Ovis aries: one gene and its partners. The protein of the gene in region 3 purifies or fractionates together with the protein of the main gene of each other region. This does not show direct contact. Links are inferred from orthologs where the notes say so. Each region holds a gene or a part of one and is shown on either strand. Other genes may lie near its edges.

The links.
Region 1: the proteins of CBX5 (region 3) and AHDC1 purify together in Homo sapiens (affinity purification with mass spectrometry; 3 studies listed by BioGRID and IntAct, with this or other methods). This does not show direct contact. The link is inferred for Ovis aries from reciprocal best matches to the Homo sapiens genes CBX5 and AHDC1.
Region 2: the proteins of CBX5 (region 3) and MECP2 purify together in Homo sapiens (affinity purification with western blotting; 3 studies listed by BioGRID, with this or other methods). This does not show direct contact. The link is inferred for Ovis aries from reciprocal best matches to the Homo sapiens genes CBX5 and MECP2.

What each region holds. Positions count from the first base shown.
Region 1 is NC_056055.1:239,497,000-239,500,643, reverse strand, and holds part of AHDC1 (transcription factor Gibbin), read right to left. Parts: coding exon 815-3,644; 3' UTR 772-814; intron 1-771. UniProt on the Homo sapiens protein: Transcription factor required for the proper patterning of the epidermis, which plays a key role in early epithelial morphogenesis. Directly binds promoter and enhancer regions and acts by maintaining local enhancer-promoter chromatin architecture.
Region 2 is NC_056080.1:80,263,863-80,267,506, reverse strand, and holds part of MECP2 (methyl-CpG-binding protein 2), read right to left. Parts: intron 755-3,644; coding exon 404-754; intron 1-403. UniProt on the Homo sapiens protein: Chromosomal protein that binds to methylated DNA. It can bind specifically to a single methyl-CpG pair. It is not influenced by sequences flanking the methyl-CpGs.
Region 3 is NC_056056.1:132,284,992-132,289,430, reverse strand, and holds the start of CBX5 (chromobox protein homolog 5), read right to left. Parts: upstream 2,933-4,439; coding exon 2,799-2,932; intron 1-2,798. UniProt on the Homo sapiens protein: Component of heterochromatin that recognizes and binds histone H3 tails methylated at 'Lys-9' (H3K9me), leading to epigenetic repression. In contrast, it is excluded from chromatin when 'Tyr-41' of histone H3 is phosphorylated (H3Y41ph).

The DNA of each region.
Region 1 (3,644 bases), on a different chromosome or scaffold from region 3:
CAATATCGAAATACCTAACAATACTTAACTGAATTCTTAAGGAATGAATTTGGTTTCAGGAAAGGGCCTGGGGTTTTTTAGGTAGGCAACATCCTACCTGGGGACAGACCCATTGGCTGGAGGTTCCCAGACACTGAAATCCCAAATACCCCTGTGGAATAATAGCCTTTGAGGTACCCTGCGAGGCCAGAAAAGGACATCCTAGCCACACCCTCAGCCTGGCCTTTGTCAGACTGCATCTTGAATTAAATGAAGTTCCCAGGGAGACAAGGAAGCGGGCAGGATCAGTATCCTAGATGGGCCTTTGTGGGTAATTATCCAACCTGCTTCTTCCTTCATCTGTCTTATGCAGTGATGCAAACACCCTCCCTTACAAGAGGTCAAGTGATAAGTGTGTGCTGGGACTCAGGTGGTCCCTGCTCAGGACCGAGCGTGGCTAAGGAGAATGGACACCTGATGAACCAAACCAGACTGCCCTACTCAGTCTACGGTCCTCCAGCCATTTAAAAAATGGGACCCCTGAATGTCTAAGCCCCAGGCTGGGTTCCCCACCCAAGCACTCACCTCCTCCCTAAGACTGTTTCCAACAGCTAATGCCAGACCCCTTGAATCCCAACTCCCTGCTCTGTTGTTGGGTCCCCAGTCTTGCCCTCCAGTCCTTCTGGCTCGTGGCCATCCTTCTGCCCCCTGCCCAAGCTCTAATGTCTTCACGCTCCCCAGCCCCAGCCCCCAGGCTTCTTCTGCCCACTGCACCCACATCCTCAGACTCACCCAGGAACAAAACCTCGAGGTCCAGTCGGCACTTCAGTTGGCACTACAGGGAGGTGACGGTGAATGTGTCCTCAGGGTGAGGCTCCGCCATGGGCCCCAGGAAGCCGCTCTTGGGGCCCCCACCCAGGCCGGGATGCGCCTGCGGCATAAAGCCTGGATACCTGTAGGCGGTATCCTGCAGGGGCAGCAGCGAGTCCCTCGGCACGGGGGACAGGGTCAAGTCACTAAGAAGTGGGCAGCCATAGGCAGCAGCGGCTGCAGCGGGGCCACGGGGTGGGCCGGGCGGCCGGGCCATCTCCAGCGGCTCCTTGTCGGCCTTGGGTGTGGCCGGTGGGCTAGCCAGGTGTGGGGCACTGAGGCACGCAGCCTCCGTCCTGCCCAGGAAGTCAGCCAGCAGCCCCGAACCCACCTTGCTTTCGTAGGGTGGGCTGCGGGCAGCTGAGCCTGGCGGGTACCAATACGCCGTACCCTTGCAGCTGGGGGAGTCATAGTGAGGCTGGCCCAGCGGCAGGTCCCGGCAGCTCAGGTGGGCCTGAGCTGCAGCCGCGTGGCCCAGGCTGGCCCCCTGAAGCCCATGCTTGAGGGGCTCACAGGCAGCCAGCTTTGTGGGCGGCGGCCGCAGCTCTTCCTTGAAGCCCAGGGTGGGTGAGCAGGTAGGCGAGTACGCCTTCTGCAGGCCTGCGTCAAACACCGTGGGTGGATGGGCCAACGGCGGGAAATGCTTGCCATCCAGCTCAGGGGGCCCCAGGCTAGGTGAGTCGCAGTGGAAGCCTTGGCTGAACGTGCCGTCGGACGGCGTGGATGGGTTCATGGAGTAGGGTCCCATGAAGTCACAGGGGTCGCGCTCGCCCACACTGAAGGCCCTCGACTGGGAGGGCAGCGGGGACATGCTGCTGTCCCCGCTGTAGTAGTCCAGGCCGAGGTCCGGGCTGTCCTGGAACAGGGGGTTGACGGGCTGCGGCTTGGGGATGAACTTGGCTTTGGCCGCCGCCCCACCCCGCTCCTTCTTGGCAGAGCAGGCGCCACCTCCCCGGCCACCCCGAGGCTGCCGGGGCCCGGTGCTCCGTTTGGACGGGTAGCCTGAGGCAGTGGCCGAGGCAGACGACGGGAAGCCCAGATGCGAGGCCTCAAACAGGTCCACCTTCTTCCGCCGTCCACGGCCCGGCTTGGAGCTGCTCTGGAAGAGGACGCTCTGGTTCCAGTTGTAACCGGGGGCGGACGAGGCCTCATTCCAGTCCATCATCAGTTTCTCCAGGCTGGACAGGCTCGACTGGCCCTCGCTGCTCGAGGCCTCGCTGTTGGCACGCCGGAAACCGCCGCCGACCGGCTGATTGAATTGGGTGCTGTCAGAGGAGGACTCGGAGAAGGTCTCGGACACGGCCGTCTGCTGCTTCACCTTCTGCGGGGTGTAGTTGGAGATGTCCAGGATCACGTTGGGCTCGCTGACGTGGCAGTCGAAGCCAGGATTGTAGAGCTGACTGAAGGCCTCCGAGGCCCAGTCCAGGCCTCCGTAGCCCTGCCGGAAAGGCCACTGAGAAGCCCCCGCAAACTGCCGACAGTTCTCAGGCGAGGGCTGGAAGGACGAGGACGACGAGGAGGCAGCGGAGGTGGCAGAGGCCGTGGTGCCCTTGGGCACCATGTAGCCACCGGGCGAGACTGTGCTGGCCCGGCTGTCACAGCGCAGAGGTGTGGGGGCTGAACCAGAGAAGGGGGCCCCCTCGGAGCTGTTGAAGAAGGAGGCCTTGCTTGGTGGCAGGCAGGGGCCACCAGTGGGCGGTGGGGCGTAACCGGCGCTGTGGGCGCTGCTGGGTGAGGCAGGTAGGCTGTTGCCGCTGCCGTACGCAAAGCTGCAGTCCTTGCTGTTAGCGCAGTCCTGGCCAGTGAAGGGCTTAGCCGGGGCAAATACACTTTGTCCGGCCCCATAGCCGCCGTACTGTGGGGGGTAGGTGTTGGTGGGCGGGTGGGTGGTAGGTGAGCGGGCCACAGCGGAAGGTGGGGGTACCAGCTTGGGGAAGGTCTCTGCAGCCCGGCAGTCTGAAGTAGCCGGGGTGAGCCCATAGCTCGCTGCCCGGCCGGGTGGGAAAGTCTGGCGAGCGGGCAGCACCGGCTGGAAGGAGGGCTCAGCCCCAGCCCCGCCACTGCCCACGGCCACTGGGCTGGCCTTGGCTCCCCGGCTGGGGAAGGTGGCCAGGCCCCGCTGGGCAGGCAGGGCACTGGTGGGAGGCCCTGCGTAGGTGCCTGATGCCTTCCGGGACTCTGGCCGAGAGGCCGAGAGGGCAAAGTCCAAGAGGTCGGAGGAGTCGTCGGAATCGAGCAGGGAGCGGAAATAGCCGGTGAAGAGGTTTTGGCGCTCCTGGCTGAGCTCCGCCTGGCCCGTGGGCGCGGCTGCGCTGTAGTAGCTGCCACGGCCTGAAGCCCCGCTCTCTAGCCCAGTGGAGGCAAAGGCCCGGGCCTCGGTCCCCTGGAACCCACAGTTTCGGCCAGCCTGCCCACCTGGGTGCCCGTGGTGAGGGGCCCAGCCGCCACCCTTGTCCCCAGCCCACTCAGTGCCTGCCTCCCCAAAGCCGGGGCCGCTGGGCACCTGCTCTGGGAACAGAGTCCCGTTCTTCCGGGACCGCCTCTTGCGTTTCGGCTTCCCAGTCACCGCATCCACCTCCCCCCGGCCTCGCTTGCGCGGGTGCCCCAGCTCAGTGAGGCCGGGGCCCCCGACCCCTGCGGCTGCCACGGCCACCACCTTCTTCTTCTTGCCAATGCCCTCAAAGAAGTCACTGAAGGAGCACCGGGCGGCCTTGGCTGCATGGCCCCCTCCCCGGCCACCGAAGCCGCCCGCTTTGCCACCTCGCCGGCGAAAGCCCTGCACGCGATGCAGGAAG
Region 2 (3,644 bases), on a different chromosome or scaffold from region 3:
TCATGAAGTATTGGCACAGAAGGACTCTCCCACAAAGAAGAGGTTCCCAGGTCCTGAGGACAGCCCCTCTGCTGGGAAATCATCAGCAGAGTATGAATGGCAGAACTCTGTGTCCCCAGTGCTATTCTTCCTCCAGACAAGGCCCTGATGGACATCTCCCTCAGGGCAGTGACCTCCCCAGGTGGTCATTCCAAGCATACCTGATCAGACCCACCAGCAGTGGTCACTACTGAAGACCCGACCGGAAGTGGGTTACGCACACACACTTTCTTGATCCATGAGCCGCAAGGAGCTAACACTCCAAGGGGTCCCCAAAAGTTTCTTAGTGGTGATCCCTGACTCTTTCCCAACCACCACCACTAGCCTTCCCTGCTCTGGAGAGACAGGAATCACCCTCACTTACTTGATCAAGTACACATCATACTTCCCAGCGGAGCGGCCAGATTTCCTTTGCTTAAGCTTTCGGGTCCAACCTTCCGGCAGAGTGGGGTCATCGTACATGGGGCCCCGATCACGAATGATGGAGCGCCGCTGCTTGGGGGACGCAGAAGCTTCTGGCACGGCTGGGGCCGAGCCTGACCCTTCTGAGGTCTCTGCTTTGCCGGCCTCTGCTGGCTCGGCAGAGTGGTGGGCTGCTGGCTGCAGGGGCTCATGCTTGCCCTCTTTGTCTTCTTTCTTATCCTTCTTCACCTTTTTGAACTTCAAAGGTTTGTCCTTCAGGCCCTGGAGATCCTGCTCTTCGGACTTTTCTTCCCTGAGTGTTAAACAAGGATGTCAGTATCACAGGGAACAAACTGGTGTGCAGAAAAAAGTGGGCGCCAGCAGGTCTGGGGTGCCCTGACATGGGCAGGGCCCCAGGAGAGGGGCTGTCCTACTAGCGTCCCCCAGATTGAAATGCCCTTCCCCTTCACAGATGACTTGAGAGCCTGGGGCTGCTGACAGTGATGGCCCACAGCACCCTACCGACACTGTGGTCACCCTGAGGCCCATCTCTAGCAGGCTTGCCAAGATGGCTTCTCGGTGTTACGAGCTAGGGCCTCTGGGTTGGACGGATGATGAGAGGCTCTCTCACCCGCTGGAGAGGGACCTACTCACCAAAATTGAGGGGGCTCCTCTTCCCCAGGGAGTGTTACTTTAAGTTTTTGTGTTTTTAAGCATAAGTGTTACTTTAAGCTTTTGTGTTTGGGGTTTTCTCAAATGGGTGTTCAATGAAAACCGTACAATACACCTTGGTGATGGGAAGAGCCCAACACTGCCCCTGGGGAGGTGGTGCCGAGTGCAGTGTTGAGGAAAAACCTGCAGATTTGGAGTAAGCCACACCGAGCCCAAATCGTGATTTTTTTTTTTTTTTTTGCCATTTCCAAACATGGATCTGCACAAGTGACTTCAACATCCTGTGCCTCAGTCTCCTCCTATCTTGACAATGGGTACCAACACCCTAGACAGAGAAGAGTCACAAAGGCATTGTCTAAACAGTGGGATGGGGCAACCAGACACTACTGCCCAGGGTTCTCACGTGAGAAGAGGAGCAATTCCCTGCTGGGTGAGTCTTTCTCACCAGACTCTCCTGACCACGCGGGGCTTTGGCACTGGGACGTGCCTGATTCCAGGGCGGGTGCCTCCCCATTCCTCCATGCTGACAGACCAGTTCCTCCGGTATGCATGGGTCCCACCCGGTAGGACCCCCTCCTATCTCCTTGGACAGTGGTTACTGTGAGGCTCCAGACTCTGGGATTAGAGTCTGGCCATGCTGCTCTCGTGGCTGGGCCAACAGGGTGAGAGCATCACCTGGGCCAGGGAGGCCTGGAAACCAGAACTGTGGGCTCAGAGCCAGTCACCTGCAAAGCCCTCTCTTAGAAACTCACCCTGGAAAAGAGCCAGACTCATCTGTGTTCCAGATCTCAGCCCCAGAGCCTCCTGGGGCCCGTGAGGCTCACAACAACCCACCCCAAGTGACTTCCCTTGCTGGCCATACCCTGGAGACCACCACCAAGGCACCAAGGCCTGCCTTGGCCGCAAGACTCGAATGACATGGCTCAGTCCCCAAAAGTGAGTTTGCACCAGAACTCACAGGTCGGGCCCAGGGAGACGGGGCATGGAAAGGGCACACCTCGCCCTCCTACCTATCCTGGCTGTCTCCGGCAGAGCTCGAGGGTAAGCCCAGGCTTAGCTCTGTGTCAGGAACCCAGACAGTCCCAGGCCACAGGAAAACAGGGCCCTGATGGCCAAGTCTGGCTTCTTCAGAGCCCTCATGTGCATCTGTGGATACTGTAACTACGGTGAGCTTTGGCATGAAGCATGTGCCCCAGGAATGCCCCTTAGGTACCAACAAGGGTGTCAATGCCGTCTAGGGCCAGCCCTTCTAGAAATCTACCAAGAACACATACCCACAGAAACAGAAAACAACATTCTGCATTTGAGCACAATGCTATTGGTGATAGCATTCTTTTTACTGGCCCAAGACTGCAGCCAAGCCAGACAGCCACCGCCCGAGACCTATTGGGCCAACACTGACATGTGCACACCACGGAGAGCCAGGTAACCTGAACCCCAGGGTGGGAAACTCAGGGTGGGACCCCCAGGAAGGGGTCCACGGTAGGCCATTCTCCAGGGGAGAAACAGAGACTTTAGGAAGCAGAGGGCAGAAATGCACAGAACTAGTCCAACATGGGGTAGGCGGGACTGAGGTGAGGAATGGCACAGGGCCAGAACTTGCCAGGTGTGTGGACCAGAATTTCATTTTCCGAATCATGTAAAAGTTGACATAACCAAAAAGAAAATCAAGACAGAAGGGAAGAGACTAGAACACGCCTAGCATCCATGGAGGGGAAACAGGCTGGCTCAGGTCCTAGGGCAGCCTGTGCTGGGGAAAGTGAAGATCCAAAAGCATGAACTGTTTAGATTTCAGAGAAGAAAATAACCCGCTTGGCGATGTTGGGGGGAAAAGGAGGGAAAGACAGAAAGTGAGGGAGGGTCTCAAGGGTCTTATGAGGAAGGTTTTAGGCAGCAGGGAGGCCTCAAGGAGGGGTCATGGAGCTGTGTCGGGTTTGATTCTGGGTGTGATGGGATTCCTTCAGCTGCTGTGTGGAGAGTGGCCTGCAGGAGACCCCAGAGAGCAGCAGGTGGCCTGGGGGACTCTGAGGCCTGCTGGACTCCATGCCACAGCAGCCCTGCAGCAGCATCACCTTGATGATCTGGGGCAGGGGATGGCAATTCCTCATGGGGCGATGCCCAGGGCAGGGCAGACTGCTCCAGGGGCTCTCGAGGCACAGTCCCAGGTGTAGGTAGTGGGGACTCGGGACGTGACCAGGAGGTGAAGCAACACAGCTGGCCGGTGTGGGGAAAAGTGTCACCAACTGAGGATAGGGAAACCTGGGCCAGCAGCAGGGTGGAGCGACAGCCAGCCCTGCGAGGAGGCACTGCAGGAGCAGCAAACACCGCATTATAAGCAGTCTCCACCTCAACACAAAGGAACAACTAAAAAGAAGCTCAAGGAGGGGAGGAGAGAATTCTTTGGCTACCAAGTAGGGAGACCCCTGTGCCCAGACTGCAACTTGGCCTAAATGAATTGCATGGGCTTTGAGAGATTTTTATTACAATCACATAGACATAACGTAAAACCTGCCCTTTCACCTAAATAATCG
Region 3 (4,439 bases):
CTATAACTTAATAATGATGGAAAAATCTGAGCTATTTACTCTAGACTTCAGCTTTCTGCAAAAAGAGCTTAAGAATGAAACAAAGTTTATTTCTAAATCATTTGAGCTAAAACTGGAAAGCCTCTCCCTCACAGCTCTTCTTTCAGCCAAAAAAAAAAAAATCCTCATACAATAACTTTCTCCCAAATTCACAGATTATATATAGTTTACTATCCCAGGAGAAATTAAGGCACAAAAACCAAGAGGCATGCCAACACTGTAGTACAGTAAGCAAGCTAAGATGCAGAGGTAGGAGAAGAATCTCTGTTGCCACCAAGGAAAGCCAATCTTCTAAGGGGATTATCCCTTTCCCCACCAGGTTAGTATTGTTTCTACATCAATCAGTTTTCACCCAAAAGATAACATGGTATAACTTACAAAGAATCTGCATTTAGTTTTATTTATTTTTAAGAATCTGCATTTTAGCACCAAAGAAATGTGATGCTGGATCCTTGTTTTAGCATGTATCAGGTATGTTATCTCTAGTAAACAATTTCCTCATCTGTAAATACCTCTAAAGGCTGTTATGAGAATTACAGAGAACACATGAGGTAGGATATAACCACTGCCTAGCAAACAGTAGGTACTCAGTTGTGGACAGTGTTGAAGGGGCACAATCTGTCTCAGTCTTTAATGAAACTCTGGATACTTTTGAAAAACTCAGGACAAATGTTAATCCATCTACCCTAAATCTTTTCTTTACCTCTTTTATCTATGTAAGGTATCAATAGCTCAACTACACAGTCTTCAAATTCTTCAAAAATACCCAACAATTTCCAGTGATGATTCAATGGGTCAAATAAACATTCTTAAAGTCTTCAGGTGTACTTTTGTTTTTTAAAGATTTATTTTATTTTTGGCTGTGGTGGATCTTCTCTGTTACACTCAGGCTCTCTCTAGCAGCAGCAAGCAGGGGCTACTCTTCGTTGCGGTCTGCAGGTCTCTCATTGCGTTGGCTTCTCCTGCTGCAGAGCACAGGCTCTAAACCGCTGGCTCAGTAGCTGGGGTACCCAGGGCTTAGTTGCTCCGAAGCACGTGGGATCTTTCTGGACCAGGGATCACACCAGTGCCCCCTCCACTGCAAGGCAGATTCTCAACCCCTGGACCACCAGGGAAGCCCCCTTCCTGAAGGTGTATTTTAATTCCTATCTCATGATGCTCTAGGCCTCTCAAATCCGTAGTGCTCAACTCTAGAGGATGCTGCGATACCATGCTTCTTTAGAAACATGGAGGGCACATTCTGACTGCTGTGCTACCCACATTTAGTTCTCTCTGTGCTACAAATGCTAAGCATCCTGCAGTGCATGAACTGTCCCAACTAAAACACCAACAATGCTCCAGATGAGAAACTTGATTCCCACAATAACCTTAACTATACTCCAAAGGCTCCTGATCATACCTTTGTCCAAAGGGACTGACAAAGCATTCAATCTTTTATTAAAGTCTCACACTTTTAAGTTGCGATGTTTAATACGGTAACTACTAGCCACATATGGTAAATGAACATTTGAAATGTGGCTAGCATGAACTGAGATGTGCTACAAAATGAAAAATATACAACAGATTTTAAATTCTTAGCATGAAAATATAAAATTTCATTAATAATTTTTGTATTAATTTTGAAATAGCATTTTGGTGGGAGTGTCTAATAAAATATATTATTAAAATTAATTCCACTTTTCCTTAATATAGTCACCATAAAATTTAAAATTACATCTGGCTTGCATTCCATTCCTATTGAATACTCCTAGGAGCCTAAACCAGTTCCTATCAGCTCACTGGTGTTCACAGAAATCCATTCTTTGTTATCAGGCATCCTGGGAAGAGAATTAATGAGAAATTAAGGCAAAATGCCTAATGATTACACAGCTTCATGCAATTCACTTTTCAAGCTACCTCTTCTATGCTTCAGTATGTGTATATTTACTTCAGCACTTAAAGCCAGTTACTGCCTAACTCTGAATACTCAACACTTCAGTATCATTCTTAAAGCTCACTGACGTAAAAGAGGGGTTTTAAGGTCTTTAATAGTAAAAAAGACAGATTGAGGAATAAAGATTATATTAAAATGTTATTGTAGAAATGAGGTGGTATGTATTTGAGTGTTCACTCAATTTCTTTTGCGTCAGTTATATATATATATTTTACATTTTTAAAAATAAATATTGGGTCTCAGATTTAAGTCTCTTATTATCTTATTAGGATGAGTGTTACAAAAAAATAACAAAGATGAGTGTTTCATCCTAGGACACTTTTGAGGGCCAAGGGTCGTTATGGAGCGCTATGGGATCAACTACAACTTCTACTTAAATGTATGTATTTTAGTTTCGTTACATCCAAAATAACAACAACAGTTTACACGTACACTGACCTTATGTGTCTGACTCTATACATCTCCCCAACATCTCTACGATATATACTATTTCTTATCCCTATTTTATTGAGGAAGAAAGATTAAGGAACTTCAGCAAGGTCACCCAGCTCATACTGTAAGTGGTGGGAGCAAGAATCTGGACGCAGGCAATCTGGCCCCTAATCTATGCTTCTAACCAGTTCATTACACTGCCTCTCAAAAGCAGTCTCATTAGAACATCAGCTCCAAGAAGGGGAGACTTTGCTTAGTTCACTGCTGTGTCTTGCGACTCTTAGAAAGGAGTGCAGGCGAGGAAAGAATATGACAAAGATGGTGATGGTTCACAGGGAAATGAACCAAAGCTGTCTACTTCCCTGAGTCCCAAAGCATGAGAGAAAGTACTTACTCAGAAAAGCCTTTCCACTTCAGTAGATATTCCACTTGTCCCTTAACCACACGCCTGTCTAGCACCTTCTCCACAACGTACTCCTCCTCATCTTCTGAAGAACTGTCAGCTGTCCGTTTGGTTTTCTTTCCCATGTCTCACGCTGATTCACCTGAAGGACTAAGGCCACCGGGTTCCTGCAAATGGGAAGGACAAAAATGGTCAGAATCCATGCAAGCAGTTAAAATGTTCAGTCTCTCAATGGGATGCAGCAGGTATAACACAAAGCTGCCATGTACCTTTCTCTTGGGTCTTGAAACATTCTACAGATGAGTCCTAAGAAGGTAACCAAAAATGGGCAGGTCCCCACTTTCTTAATTACAACTTCCTCTTCAGCTCACAAGATCAAAATTATTAGATGGGCACAATTATCTAACTCTAATTTCAGAGTCTATAAAACAAGTAGGGTGGTATTTTACTCCTGGTACCTCTACGACTGTCTACAAGTCATAAACTGGAACAGAAACATGGAAAACCTTCCATTTAAATAAGATTTTCTATAAAAATGAGAAAAAAAAGAAAAGCCAGCAAAATCTAACTTTCTTCTGCTCTGAGCATCCTGAACAGTCTCTTAACAGGACAAAAAAGGCCTGCTCGGGCATGTTTCACCACATTTTCAGTGACTCGGTACATTTCCCTTCAACAAACTGAGCTTGTCCCTTCAGAGCACCCATCAGCTCACAAAAGCAAGGCTGACACCTCAAATATATTAAGCCTCATCTTTCATTTGGGGATCGGAGGGAGGCATGGAGGAGAAAAATATTTTTTAGTCCTAAAAATCAAAACTAGTCATTGGGCTGTTCGGTAATTCTTAAGGCTCAACTAATCCAAATATTAAGGAGGTACCTCTCCTCTTAACTGGAGCTGACTTTGGGCCAAAGGAAGAGGAGGAGGAAAACAAGAGGTCTGGTCCCAGACTCACAGCAACATGAAGCCTCCAAACACAGAAGAACCATTCATAGGCCCAAGGAAAGCTGAAGCAAGGCAACACAAATGGAAATTGAGTTAAGCTCAGAAACATGCACAACCAGGGGGTATGCAGCAGAGACTCTAGTGTTTTAAATTCCCTCCTTGTTGTCAGCACAATCATTTTTAAGAATTCTTCCTTAACCATGTTAAATGGTGCCTAGAGTCTGGATTATAGAGTAGCAGGGATTGTTTTCTTAGCTGAACTCCATTTTATTTTGCTGTAAACCTTAAAGCTTTTTTTCAGCATTCTAAAAACATTTTCTTTCTGATCAGATGACCACCCCAGGAACAGGAAAGGTCACTACTAATCTCAGAATTTTGTCTTTGAGTACCATAAAAAGTTGCATTAATCAATTTACTTCAAACTAGCAAAATTTAGGGAATTATTCCAAGAATATATAGTTGTAAATCATACCTCCAGAACTTACTAGCAATAGGTCTGCCCACCCAAAAAACTGTCTGTATGTTTTTAGCAAAATACTTCATTTGGATGAGGGAGTGGGAGTGTGGGGAACGTAAGGTAAGGAGTTTCAAAATAATTTTTCCACGAATTCAGACGGGAGTCCTTTAGCTTCAAGGAAAAAAAAAAATCTGATTTATTTAAAATAAAAGCAGCCTCCAACCTCACCAGAG